Linked DNA regions of Bombyx mori. The protein of the gene in region 2 binds, or shares a complex with, the protein of the main gene of each other region. Links are inferred from orthologs where the notes say so. Each region holds a gene or a part of one and is shown on either strand. Other genes may lie near its edges.

Evidence for each region.
Region 1: unc-112-related protein (region 2) and LIM and senescent cell antigen-like-containing domain protein 1 share a complex: the UniProt entries of both Caenorhabditis elegans proteins name them as parts of the integrin containing attachment complex. The link is inferred for Bombyx mori from reciprocal best matches to the Caenorhabditis elegans genes unc-112 and unc-97.

What each region holds. Positions count from the first base shown.
Region 1 is NC_085112.1:7,029,553-7,036,028, forward strand, and holds the end of LIM and senescent cell antigen-like-containing domain protein 1, read right to left. Parts: intron 5,311-6,476; coding exon 5,169-5,310; intron 4,342-5,168; coding exon 4,151-4,341; 3' UTR 2,789-4,150; downstream 1-2,788. UniProt on the Caenorhabditis elegans protein: Component of an integrin containing attachment complex, which is required for muscle development and maintenance. Probably function in adherens junction.
Region 2 is NC_085131.1:10,832,154-10,838,939, forward strand, and holds the end of unc-112-related protein, read right to left. Parts: intron 4,531-6,786; coding exon 4,294-4,530; intron 3,686-4,293; coding exon 3,485-3,685; 3' UTR 2,526-3,484; downstream 1-2,525. Other genes in the region: kelch-like protein 26, read left to right, coding at 1-119, 665-1,674, 1,854-2,200, 2,275-2,504. UniProt on the Caenorhabditis elegans protein: Component of an integrin containing attachment complex, which is required for muscle development and maintenance. Probable regulator of cell-extracellular matrix adhesion. Required during initial muscle assembly to form dense bodies and M-lines.

The DNA.
Region 1 (6,476 bases), on a different chromosome or scaffold from region 2:
CAATAAATTAGCATTCCCACGAAGCGGGCCTACAAAAAAATATTACCGATTTCATGATATCGCCAGACATGAAGCTTGGCCGCGCTGAAGTGATGACGAGGAGCGGAAGTGTTGCACTTGCTACTGTGGTATGACAAGTTAGGGCGACTAACGTTCGGATACTGTTATTTGCACGGATTATTTAATATTCTATTTAGTAGTTCACTATAATTATATAAAACATAATTTGTTTCGGTGTGAAGATAGTAAGATAGGCATGCTGAGTACTCTGTCTGGGGAGTAATTGTCATCCTCTGGTCGCGGTTGCTCGTCATAAACCCTGAACGCTCCAATATGGCCACTCCACTCCTTTCTTATTCATTTTCACACAGGTATAAAACAGATCGCGCCAGAATAGCTTGTCTGTACGTATACATAGATTAATAAGTGTATAATTGTTATAACTTAATTGTGTGCAAATATAATGTTACGTTGTTTAATTAAATGTTCCAGAATACAAATTTCTATTTATTTAAGCCTTATTACAAGCTGCTAAGGCTTATTGCCTGTAGCAGCTTAACCCTGTTACATCCCGAAAAATACTATTTCCGGAGAACATTATATTATTCTATTTGCAAATGGAGTGAAAAAAATTAATAAAACATAAGCTACATACCTACTATTCATGATTTACCAAGTAACTTTATCGGTATATAGAATACCAGTGTCATTAGGCATCAAAATTAACGATGAAATAATCATAGATCATCCTTACGCAACAAATAATTACAAATTACATACATGTGTTGCATTGCCAGATTGGTGTTTAGTGTTATATAATATAATGTAATTATATAATTGTATAATTTAAAATACAATTCTATCCTAATATTGTAATTTTGGAAGTGTGTTAGTTTGTTTCTGAATCACAAAAATGAATGAAAAAGTTTAGTTGAAATTTCGAATAAGCATCACTACATAGTAGACAACAAAGTCGCTTTCTCTGTCCCTATGTATGCTTAAATCGTGTATATAATCAAAGGCTTAAATCTTTAAAACTACGCAACGGATTTTGTTCCTTTTTTTTTTAATAGATAGAGTGATTGAAGAGGAAGGTTTATATGTATAATAACATCCATTAAATAGTGGAGAAATCAATAATAAATTACAGTTTCCGAAACGAAGCGAGGGCGGATCGCTAGTAGTTTATAACTTGAATGTACAGGGAGAATACTTTTACCATGGTAAATTATGATCCGGATAACAGTCGGTATATCTGTTATAATAAATACGTCCGTGCATTCGCTGGCGGGACTGATGGTAGTTTGTGGACCAGTGTGACACAAGAAAATTCTTTTTTTAAGCTACAGTTTTAAAGTAACCCGGACTGCGGTGTTCTTGTATTACGGAAATCGCGAATAAATGATAAAGAGATAAGAGCATAATTTTAAACAAAACTAAGTAACAGACCTTGGACTCAATTCGATTGATAAAACATCTAAATGGTTCTCCATGATTACCGGGGTCAGGCACGAAACAATTTAAACACCTCAACTCATATTATCCGACCCAGGCGAAGGAGATTGCAAAGCCGCCGTCGCACTAAACATGTCCTGTCGAGTCCCCCGGATCGGAAAAAGAACTTATAGGTATTTGTCAACTCATATTCATTGAATGCGAGAGGTAGTCACCGAGAATGATGGAAGTTTATCGAAAGAATCTACTGGACTTTTTTTCATTTGTCTCCATATAGAAGATATTTTAGTCATCGTCGCCTAAAGGGTAAGACGTCCGGTGCATTCGTATCTAGCGATGCAACGGTGTTCGAATACCGCAGGCGGATACCAATTTTTCTAATGAAATATGTACTTAACGAATGTTCACGATTTACTTCACAGTGAAGGAAAATAACATCGTGTGATAAAAAATAAACCCGCAAAATTATAATTTGCGTAATTACTAGTGGTAGGACCTATTGTGAGTTTGCACGGGTAGGTACCACCACCTCGTCTATTTCTGCCGTGAAACAGTAATGCGTTTCGGTTTGAAGGGTGGAGTAGCCGTTGTAACTATACTGAGACCTTAGAATTTATATCTCAAGGTGGGTGGCACATTTACGTTTTAGATGTCTATGTGCTCTAGTAACCACTTAACACTAGGTGGGCTATGAGCTCGTCCACCAATCTAAGCAATAAAAAAAAAACAAACGTGTGGCACTGGGGAACTGCCGCGGTATGCATTTTTTATCAACTTATGCAATTATAATTTAATATTAAAACAAGACCACGCCATATTAAACATTAAAAAAAGCTATGCAATAGCTTAAAATAAAGAACCTCGTATTGTGGATAATCAGCGCTGTTCGATTTATCGACCTTGAACAGCCTTAGCTGAGCCACCTCCTTTTGTCTTTTTTTTAATTTTTATTTTTCTTGTATTTTATTCTATTTAATGTGAAAGACAATAAATGATTTTATTTTTATTATTACCCTTTTGTTTGCTGATGTTCATGAGCAACAACGACCACTTATAAAATGACAATATAGCCTATCTATGTGCTTAATGCGAGTGTTTTAACGTTCTCGATAGCGTAAAAGGTAACATAAATTTGCCGCTAGGGACAAACGTTCCAACTCCATACTAATTACATGCGAGAACGTTAAAAAAGTCGCACTAAACACGCTGTCTATAACAAAATAAATTACAAATTAGAATCTTAAAATCAAAACTTCCCAAAATTTTGATTTTGTATTTGGTAACTTGACGAAACCCTAATCCCGTGCATTGTACAATAATCAAAAGAATAACGTGTTAGTAAAAAACTTTATTTGGTGTTACATAAATATTTAGATCTAAATTAAATTATAAAATATCTGTATTATACATTAAAAGGGTTAAAAACAATATTACAAAGGGTGCGAAACAAGTTTTCTTTTTTCTTTTAAATCATAATTTTCGTCTAATGTAAGGCATGCTAAAAACGTGACATTAATATACAATGCAGTAGCATATTATAGTCAAAAGTAGCATTCTTCAAAATGGAATGAATATAATTTTTTGAAATATATTTATCATTTCAGAGGGTTTTTCAAATATCATTTATATCGGTCTGATTGTCACTGTCATTGTCCCTGGCTAAGATAATCTTATATAATTAATATTAAAAAATAATTAGATCCAAATTCGTCATTTTGACCACACATTTGCTGTAATATTCAGTTCAATTGGTTTATAAAAATCATCGAAAATTTATATTAATAATCTTCATATAGTGTACAATATCTACAGATTTGTTTCCGTTTTGGCTTATGAAGCCAAGCCTTTTGAGTTCATTAATATAAATAGTTAACTTAGAAATAGTTCTACGTTTATATTTTGTGCTTTTAAATTCAGGTTCACGTGACCAAACTGATATTTTGACTTAATTCAAAACATAGTTTACAAGCACATTCAACAGATACATTTTTATTGCCAATAGAGTTAAATTGACTTATAGCTCATCTGGTCGTAAATAGATAAGAGCGACTTCAAAATAATATTTTTAAAGGAGTCAAATCAATAAATAAATCCATTGCACTTGAACAAAATAGCGAACGCGTCAATGATCAGTGCGAGTAAAGACAACATTCATAATCATTATATTTTGTATGGTATAAAATAATTAATTATTACATTTTACACTTAATATATTACATTAATAAGTTTAGTTGTTACATAGTAGGTACTTCAAGGCACAAATGGCAAGTGCATACTACATTTATTATATTTTTAAATTTGTTAGTTAATTATGTTAAAAAAATGTGAACACCGACATTACTGTGGTATAGTGGTTTAGTATAGTATAGACCAGTGATGGGCAAAGTACGACCCGCGGAAGTATTTTAATCCGGCCCGCCGAGAGTCCGTCCGTCCCAAATATTCTAGTCGGCAGTTTGGCGCGTAAAATAAAATCTGACGTTTATAATTGAAAATCTTCGAATTTTTCAAAACTCCCCTCAAAACACCCCTGACGAATTGGAGCTTTCATTATCTCATTTATTGGAGAAAAAAAAACATTTTTCTATAATTCTGGCCCTCCTCTAGTATTTCCTAAACATTGTGGCCGCCATTAAAAATGTTTGCCCACCACTGGTATAGACAGATTAATGTCGTTTATTCCTTGTATTTTTCGTTAACGGCGGACCGTGTAGTGATGAGCCCGACGTAGCCGACGTCGTAGTTCAGCCGGGAACTTCTCGTAGCAGCGTCTACAGGCGGGCCTCTCGTCGTATTCGTAGAACTTGCTACGCGTGCTCAGCGGCGCATCGCAAACGGAACACGCAAAATGATGTACGCACCAAGCCTTGTTCAATGCGGTGAATACTACGAATAAAATTACAGTTATTAAGAAAAAAAATGGTAAATTAAATAGATATTTTTGATTCGACCAGTTTGTGTTATTGAAGTAGCAATCAGCAGTACAACACAATAAGTTACATATTATGTGTAACATGTTACTTGTGATATATAACCTATATTATATTCACATTAAAACCTTCATAATTATAATACATACTAGCACACAAATTTTTAAGAAGTTAAGAATATATTCATTCGATAATATAAAAAAATCAGCTAAATAAGCAAGATATAATTTCAAATCACACTGAATATAATTAGTTTTTAAGTGAATTGTGATATTATAAAAACGTTTATGATTATTAACCAATAACACAAATATTGTGTTCAGAACTTATTTTGTGCAACAGCTATGTGTAGAAATCTTTCCCGTTCTTTTACCACTTATGCTGGTAATCTCGTGAGGTTATGTCAACTTAACTGTGCGAATAGGTGCTCTAACCTGACGACGTTGCTTCGCAAAATCTACCACCGGATCGGAATCGCGACCCACTGAGAAGATCCGACGAGAAACTCAGTAGGCTTTTTCCAGTATTAGCCCGCACGATATTAAAGCATTATTAAACTTAGTTAAAAAACAAAGATTTTTATTAAATTTAACTATTGCGTGTACTCCACTTGGCCATTTTCGATTGTTTTCTTTATTAAAAATTATATTTATTAACACAACTTACTTATTACGCAGAACAGTGTACTTAAACGATAAACCAATACAATACAGACAATTATGAAACCTCATCATATCACATGCCGAAATCATTAAATTTTAAATGAAATAATCGAATAGTTACCGTCGCCGGCGATAACTTGATTACAGACGTAGCACAAATTGCCGAACAACTGGTGATAATGTTGTTCGCAGTAGGCCAAGCCTTTCTTTTCATAATGACGATGGCCGTGAAATGGTTTCTCGCATTTGGCACAAACGAAATGCTGAAAAATTAAATTTTCTTTAAATTATTATTTTTATTGCTTTCGACTCAAACGGAACAGGTAGCAAACGGGTGATGATAACCAGTGGTCGAAGTAGGTAGATTGATTTTTTATATACTTGCGTCAAAATATTATAATATACACTAATATGGAATAATGGATTAATATTTTTAATATGTTTTTCACCTTAAACACAGATTCATGATAATTTCAAAATTCCGGAACAAATATCGCAATAAATATGAAGTTCCGGTATTTTGGAGGCATATCCATATTATCCTCTACATTTGACGTCAACGATCTTAAATCAATCTACCTACTCCGACCTCTAGTGAAAACCTAATCCATAGATATCGCAATGTGAATTGCGCTACCCCCTTGCAACGTCGAAGTTTCAATTCTATAATTACTACCATACCCTTCCAATCGAAACGCTGGATGGTTTCGCCGCATAGATAGGCAGACCGGTAACACTTATCCGTGTGTGGGCTCCCAATACTGCCGCCGATAATTATGCATATTTATAAGATTCTCGGTTTTTGTTAAACACTATATTTTTATTTCATCGTGGAAGTCGCTCAAGTGAGCATGTTAGGTACGTATTTACTTGGAACTAGGCAATGGCAATAACTGATTCGTCGCATCTAAAATCGTTAATTTTATTAATGCAATACAATTGAGGCTTTAACCTCGTGTCTGAAGTTGGACGCCGAGATTACTATTATGGTGTGTGATTTTCGATAAATACTTGTAACGGATAGGACGTCGTCAACTGCTGCAATGACACATTTGTTTATCATGCTGAAGCACTCTCTTTTAATGAATTTCGCAAATAGTGAAACTTATGGATTTTAGGAATTGTCGTGTATAAGAGATTTGTAAGTATCGTGATAGCAAGTCAATTGATGTTTTGCTATTTTTTCCATTTCACTTTTCATACAACAAAAGTGGCTTCGGCCATAACCAAAGATTAGATTCTGAAGTCACTTGCATATCCTCTTAAGTGGGAATCGCCACGAGGTGGTAGAAAATAGAATGCGCAATTTGAATGAAAAATCAGAAGCATATAGTGGATTTTTATATTGGTTTATACATACATAATAATATGTATGTTTGTATGAAACGGAATTTTTCAACTTAATTTTGACAGAATTCAAGACGTCCCA
Region 2 (6,786 bases):
TAATAGAAAATCAGAGATTCACGGCGAACAAAAATGTTTTGTGCGAGTACAGCGACTATTTTCGCGCAATGTTCAGTGGAAACTATATTGAAAACGAACGACAGGAAATAAAAATTGATGTAAGGAAAATTATAAATTATGTTAGCTAAATTAAATTAATGTATAAAATGACAAACAATTAAAACAATAATTATGGATTTAACTCTATGAATAATCGCAAAATGTTTAATTTTTAATCATAATTATCTAGTAGTAGTGGGTAGTAAATTGATAATTTTGCGATTCCTTGATGTTAATGGTACCTCAATCATACCTCATTGTGGAACGTTTGGTGAGGGTAGGCTGTTGACAGCTAACTATTCTATTTATAATATTCTATGTATAGAACGTACCGTAGACGTAGTGTGGCTACCCACACTAGCTCCCTCGCCTCCCACACGTTGGACAGACCACCTATTGAGGTATGCGGGATCTGCTGGACGCAAGCAGTGCAGGCCGATCATTGTGGTTTGGGAGAGGCCTATGTCCATTTGAGGACATCTGTGGGAATAAATATCTACCTACAATATGATAGTGTAACTTAAAAATAAAAAAGGACTGTAAACAAGAAGAACTGTAAATTACTGAATATTAAAAAAATTACTCTTTCTATATCCACTTCCAGATGGTTGATGCATACTCAATGAACATGATACTTCAATACATGAGAATAGGTTTGATAGATCTCTCTGAATACTCACTGACAACTATTGGAGAATTGTCAATCGCAGCGAACTTTCTTCAAATAACAGAATTAATTAAGCAGATTGAATACTGTTTAGATCTCCATCTTTCTGTCTCAAACTGGATGGAGACAATGATTATAGCAGAAAACTCTTCTTATACTAAATTAGAGCAACTGAGTGCTGCATTTGGATTACTTAATTTTAAACAAATGAAAAAAGAGTACATTTTAAATATTCATAGACTATTTTGGTATTTATCACATCCATATTTAGATACTGATAATGAATTAGAGGTTTTTAGATTTGGTTACGAATGGATTATAAATTCAGAAACAGGGGCCGATGCTATATTGATAGTTTTAGGATGTTTAGATATACAAAGACTGAGTCATAATGATATCAAAGAAATAAAAATCCTTATAAAGGATTTTGTTGATAGTTTGCCTCTTAAAGTAGTTGATTGTATTTTAGAGATTACTGAACACAGTGAATTGTCTATAATAACTTTGACTGAAAGGAAAGATGAACTATGCGAAAAGTTCACTGCCAGGGTATATATTGAAGTTTTTAAGTTAGTAAGTGCAAGTGTTAATCGTAAGCTGATATTCACACCCACAGTACCAGTCTGGATAGTCAAAGATACAAAACCTGAATTGATATCGCATAATATGTATACATTTAGTGAAGATACAGGCCTTGAAAAATGGTTGGAAGTTGCAGAGAAAAACTTATGGGGTTGGAATGTGGTAGCATGGGGTGCCAACAAACTTGTTCTGGTTTGTGGAGAACATGGTAGAGGTACGAGTGTATTCATGAAAGATGTTAAAGTATATGACACTTTCCGTAAGGAGTGGATCTTGCACGGTGTTGAATTACCATCGAGAAGACATGGTGGAGTTGCTATTATGGGAGACTCATTGTTCATTATTGGAGGTGTAGGTGGTTTTAGGTTGGTTTCTTTTATTTATTTTAACTCTGTATTCTCTGAGCATCAAGACAATTCGCAGTTATGTGCCTATTTTGTTGTGAAATAATAGTTACTAAAGGTAATATTTTATAAATTGTTTTGTTCCTTGAAATTTTGATAAAATCACTTTACAATAATAAATTTTGCTTTTCTCATTTTAGAGTTGTACTTGATACGGCTGTCATATATGATTTAAAACAAAGAACACACAGGAAGATTGCCAAATTACCAGATACAATACAAAATCCAGCTGTGTGCGTACACAATAATTCTATTTATGTATCAGGTCAGAAGAATATTTACCAATATGAGGACTTAGGGCAAACTGATAGATGGTCCACAGTCATACTAACAGATATTAGACCAAATTGTATGACGTCATTCAATAATTACATTTATTGCACACAAAATTATTTTAGCCATCTCTATAGATTTCGACCTGGCATAGATACGAAATTGCAGTTGATCACTTACTTTACGAATCCGCCAGCTGCCATTTGCCATTTAGGTAAAATTCACGTAAATAAAAAAAGTATTTTAGGTTGTGAAAGATTTGTAAATAAATCTTTAGTGTGTTTCCAGGTTCAAAATTGCTCTTTTTCACCAGGCCAATGTGTGGTCAGTCAGATACGTTAGCAGTTGAAGAGTACAAAGGGAAAACTGATGATGAAATGCCCAACGTTCTTTGGTCAGTTTCAAATTCAAAAATCAAAGTGAACGATGTTGCCGGCTCATGTACCTTAGTCATCAACATACCTCCAACAAGAACTGCAATCTCTCGATACCATAAAAGATATTTGTCGCAATATTAATAAAAAGAAAAAAAAACACTCTTTTATTAGTTTAATTTTATTATAAACACTATATTATTGAATAAGTGAATACGTTAATATATTTTTTTTACAATATACATTACAATAAAGGCAAAATTACATTGTTAATACTCGTATTGTATAATTTAAATACGACGGCATTATATGCGATCTCGATGAGACTAGTTGTCAATAACTTTATTAAATAAGGTATACAGCATATATATTGATAATTGATACGACCAACAGTGGTGTACATTTTAATACCTAGCTAATGTTATTTACAATGATAAAATAACTATATAAATCCTTATACGTGTCTAAATTACGAAATTTCTCCATAAGCCCACAAAAGCACCAAAGACAATTCCAAGCGTAATAATGGCACTTTTCAATAGGTTGGTAGTAATAAAATATTTAGTAGTTTCCATAAATTCTAGCTTTCCAAAAGTAGATTTAAATATATATTTTTATAATCTGACGGCTGAAAGCAGCATACAATTTAGCTTCCACATCAAATAACCATTTTTGGTATAAGATTACGGTCGCTAAATAACGTTAATTTTGGAAGCACTACAATATATAAGACCTTAAAGTAAATATTGATTAATTAATTTTTCGTACAAAAATACACTACATTCATACTTTTACTTATTACCTTTATAACTCAAGGCACTCCCGAAGGCCATTAAAACTTACTGTGATTCATTAATTTATTGTTTTAATATTTTCCTTTTGATGTATCTCGTATTTTGCATCTAACTTTAGCGTTAGCATCGAAAGTGGTTTTTTAATTTTAAAATTTAAATAATAGTATTCACGAACGTTTCTACTGTGCTAATAATATAAATGACGGATTTTTTATTGGACACTTCGAAACTGCAATAATTCAAATTAAAAAAATTATAATATAATTAAACAATGTATCTGCTCAAAAGGAGCGTCGCATAATAAAAAAAAAATATTAGGGTTGTCAGATATTACGTCCACCCGCCGGTCAGTTTGTGGAACAGTTCAACGTCCAATGTCTGGTTGGCATCCTTGGACCTCATCGAAAGGAATATGTAGCCGCCGATGAACTCGTGTACGACTTTGCAGTCGGCCGACTGTACGGAGAATATGATGTTGTCCTCCTCGAACTGGACCATCATGTGCTTTATCTCCCAGTTCACGTTCCAGGCCTGCAACCAGAATTCGAAATGTTAATTCCGTGTGCTTAGTGCGAGTTTTTAAGGTTCTCGATAGCGTAAAAGTTAACTTAAAAATTTGTATGGAATTGGAACAGCGCCCCTAGCGGCAAACGTAGGCAAACGTTCCAGCTCTATACAAATTTGCGTTAACTTTGACGCGATCGAGAACGTTTAAAAACTCGCACTAAGCGCAGTGTTTGTGGAAATTTATTAAGGAAAATATTCGATTTGCCGCAAATTTCCATCTGCATTGAACTATAAAGGTAAATGTTTATTTGCTTATTAAATGTCACTATCAATTTGGGATGACGGAACTATTATTAATATAATAATTAAAAATATTCGCTATAAACTTATGTATGTATTTTTAGGGTAATTTTTCGCGATCCATTTTCTTTTAATCACAGATGTGTTTTGTTATCCATAAGAATTAAAATTTGTAGAAGTTTACTAGTGCGACTTTTTTATATGTATTGTTGATGAGGCAACATTGCAAAAATAATTTTAAATTACAATATCAATGGTTTCATAAAGTGAAAAGATATGGAGATCCAAACGTCCTAAAGTGTTATAGAAATATGTTATAAGAAAATAAGTACCTTCATGTTACTGAACCTCCAGGTCTTAATGTGATCTCCGGTGTGCGGGTCCAGCCTCATGATCCTGTTGTTGGCGATGCCGATGATCTCGTCCTTCTTGTGGCCCATGAACCGAACCACGAACAAGGTCTGTCCGTAATCGGCGAGGTTCTGCCAGGTCTTGATGTACTGGAGCTTCGCTTCGAGGAGGGGTAGGTCTTTGACGTTAGCGTGACTCTCGAGCAAGCGTTGAGTGAACTGTGAACGAATACACATACGTTTTGTATGTTAATGATGGACGTGCTCATATCGAATAGGACATTTATTAAAAAATTAAATTTTGTTTTTTTTTATTTTAATTTTGTATTTTTAATTTTAATGGTATGGACATGTGATTAGACGAAATGAAAATAAGGTTGGTAAGAGAGTGTTAACAATGAATGTGGAAGGATATAGAGGAAGAGGTAGAGCTAAGAAAACAAAAAGGGTGCGTGTACTTATGTACACGCGTAAGAAGTTATACTTTATTTTTATTATTTATTATATTTATTTTTTGGAACCGGTGGTAGAGTTAACATTGTTATTTGTATTTTGACATTCAACAAGTGTGTCATACTGACATCTAAGTTGAAATAAATGATTTTGAATTTTGAATTTTGAATTAAATTTATTTCTTTTTTTTTAAATATTAAATAATTAATAATAAATATTTAACGTTAACAATTTAATAATATTTAGTATGAATTATATTAAATAATAAATTTGTCATTTATATTACTAAAAAATTGATGCTAATAACACTTTTTTTTACGAGTGTACATGCGGCTGCAGCTATATTCAGACTCGCCAAGTTACGTCGGTCGTATTGTAATGAGCGATTTAGTGGGCAACTTCGCTCTGTTAATTTTGTGTCACGGTGCGCGCGCATCGTAAAATTTCACTCTAAATTTTTCATAACCCGCCTAAAGAAGTATAACTTCAAAAAACGTGTGCAATTTACACGTGGTAGAAGTGAAACCTTCAAAATTTAAAATACAATTATCCTAAATGTATAAGTGTATGTAAAATTTTGTCATTAGTAAATAATTGTAAATCATCTTTTATAGTATGAGGTAGCGTCCTCTGTGAATTGATATTTTAACTTCACGTATAATCCTAAATTAAAATTCAGTGAGGTTTCATACACACGTTAGTATTAAAAACATCTCATAGATGGCGCTGTATTAAAAAAAACTACATTGAGAAAGAACGTCTGTGTTCAATCTCATTCTCTCGCCGGCTGAATCCTATTTTTTTTTTTTTTTTTTTTTTTTTATTGCCTTTGTAGGCAGACGGGCATACGGCCCACCTGATGGTGAGTGGTTACCGTCGCCCATGGACTTCAGCAATGCCAGGGGCAGAGCCAAGCCGCTGCCTACCGCTTAATACTCTCCATAAGCCTCGTTTGAAGAAGGACATGTCATAGCGCTCGGGAAACACCGTGGAGGGGAGCTCATTCCATAGCCGGATGGTACGTGGCAAAAAAGATCTCTGGAAACGCACTGTGGATGACCGCAGTGGCTCCAGGTAGTATGGATGAACTCTACTCCGGTGGCGGGCGGTGCGATGGTAAAAACGAGATGCTGGTATCATCTCGAACAATTCCTCAGAGCACTCCCCATGGAACATACGGTACAAAATACAGAGGGAACCGAAGTCCCTCCGCAGACCCAGAGGCTCCAAACGATCCGAGAGAATGGGATTATCGACAATCCGAACGGCCCTCCTCTGTATGGAGTCAAATGGAAGAAGCTGGTATTTGGGAGCCCCGGCCCAGAGATGGGAGCAGTACTCCACGCGAGGCCGGACTTGTGCTTTATAAAGCAAAAGTCTTTGTCCAGGCGTGAAGCACCGCTTCGCTCTGTTGAGGACTCCCAGCATTTTGGACGCCAACTTGGCTTTGCCTTCCAAATGACTCCGAAACTGGACATCGCTCGAAATGTCGACCCCAAGTATCCCGATACTCTCGGAAGGTTGCAGGGATACTCCTTGGAATTGCGGCGCCATGACAAAGGGGTCCTTCTTCGCAGTGAACGCGCAAACCTGTGTCTTCAACGGGTTGAATTGAACTAAGTTCGATTCACCCCATTTGGAGACTCGCCCCAGAGAGTTCTCCACTTCAGACACAAGTTTTGATCGTCTCTCTTGCACCACGCTCCGAGAGAGACTCTGATGGCCGATATATCGCGCATCCCCCGTGCTATCATCTGCATAGCAGTGCATGCCATCAATAGACAGCATGTCATTGATATACAGGATGAAAAGCGTGGGGGAGAGCACCGAACCTTGTGGAACGCCAGCGTTAATGGTCATGGTATCAGAACAGTCACCGTCTACAACGACCGTGATGCTCCGCCCATCCAAAAAGCTAGCGATCCACTTGCAGAGACCCTCGGGGATTCCGTAAGATGGTAACTTCGATAGAAGTGCCCTATGCCAGACCCTGTCGAAGGCCTTCGCGATATCATACATACA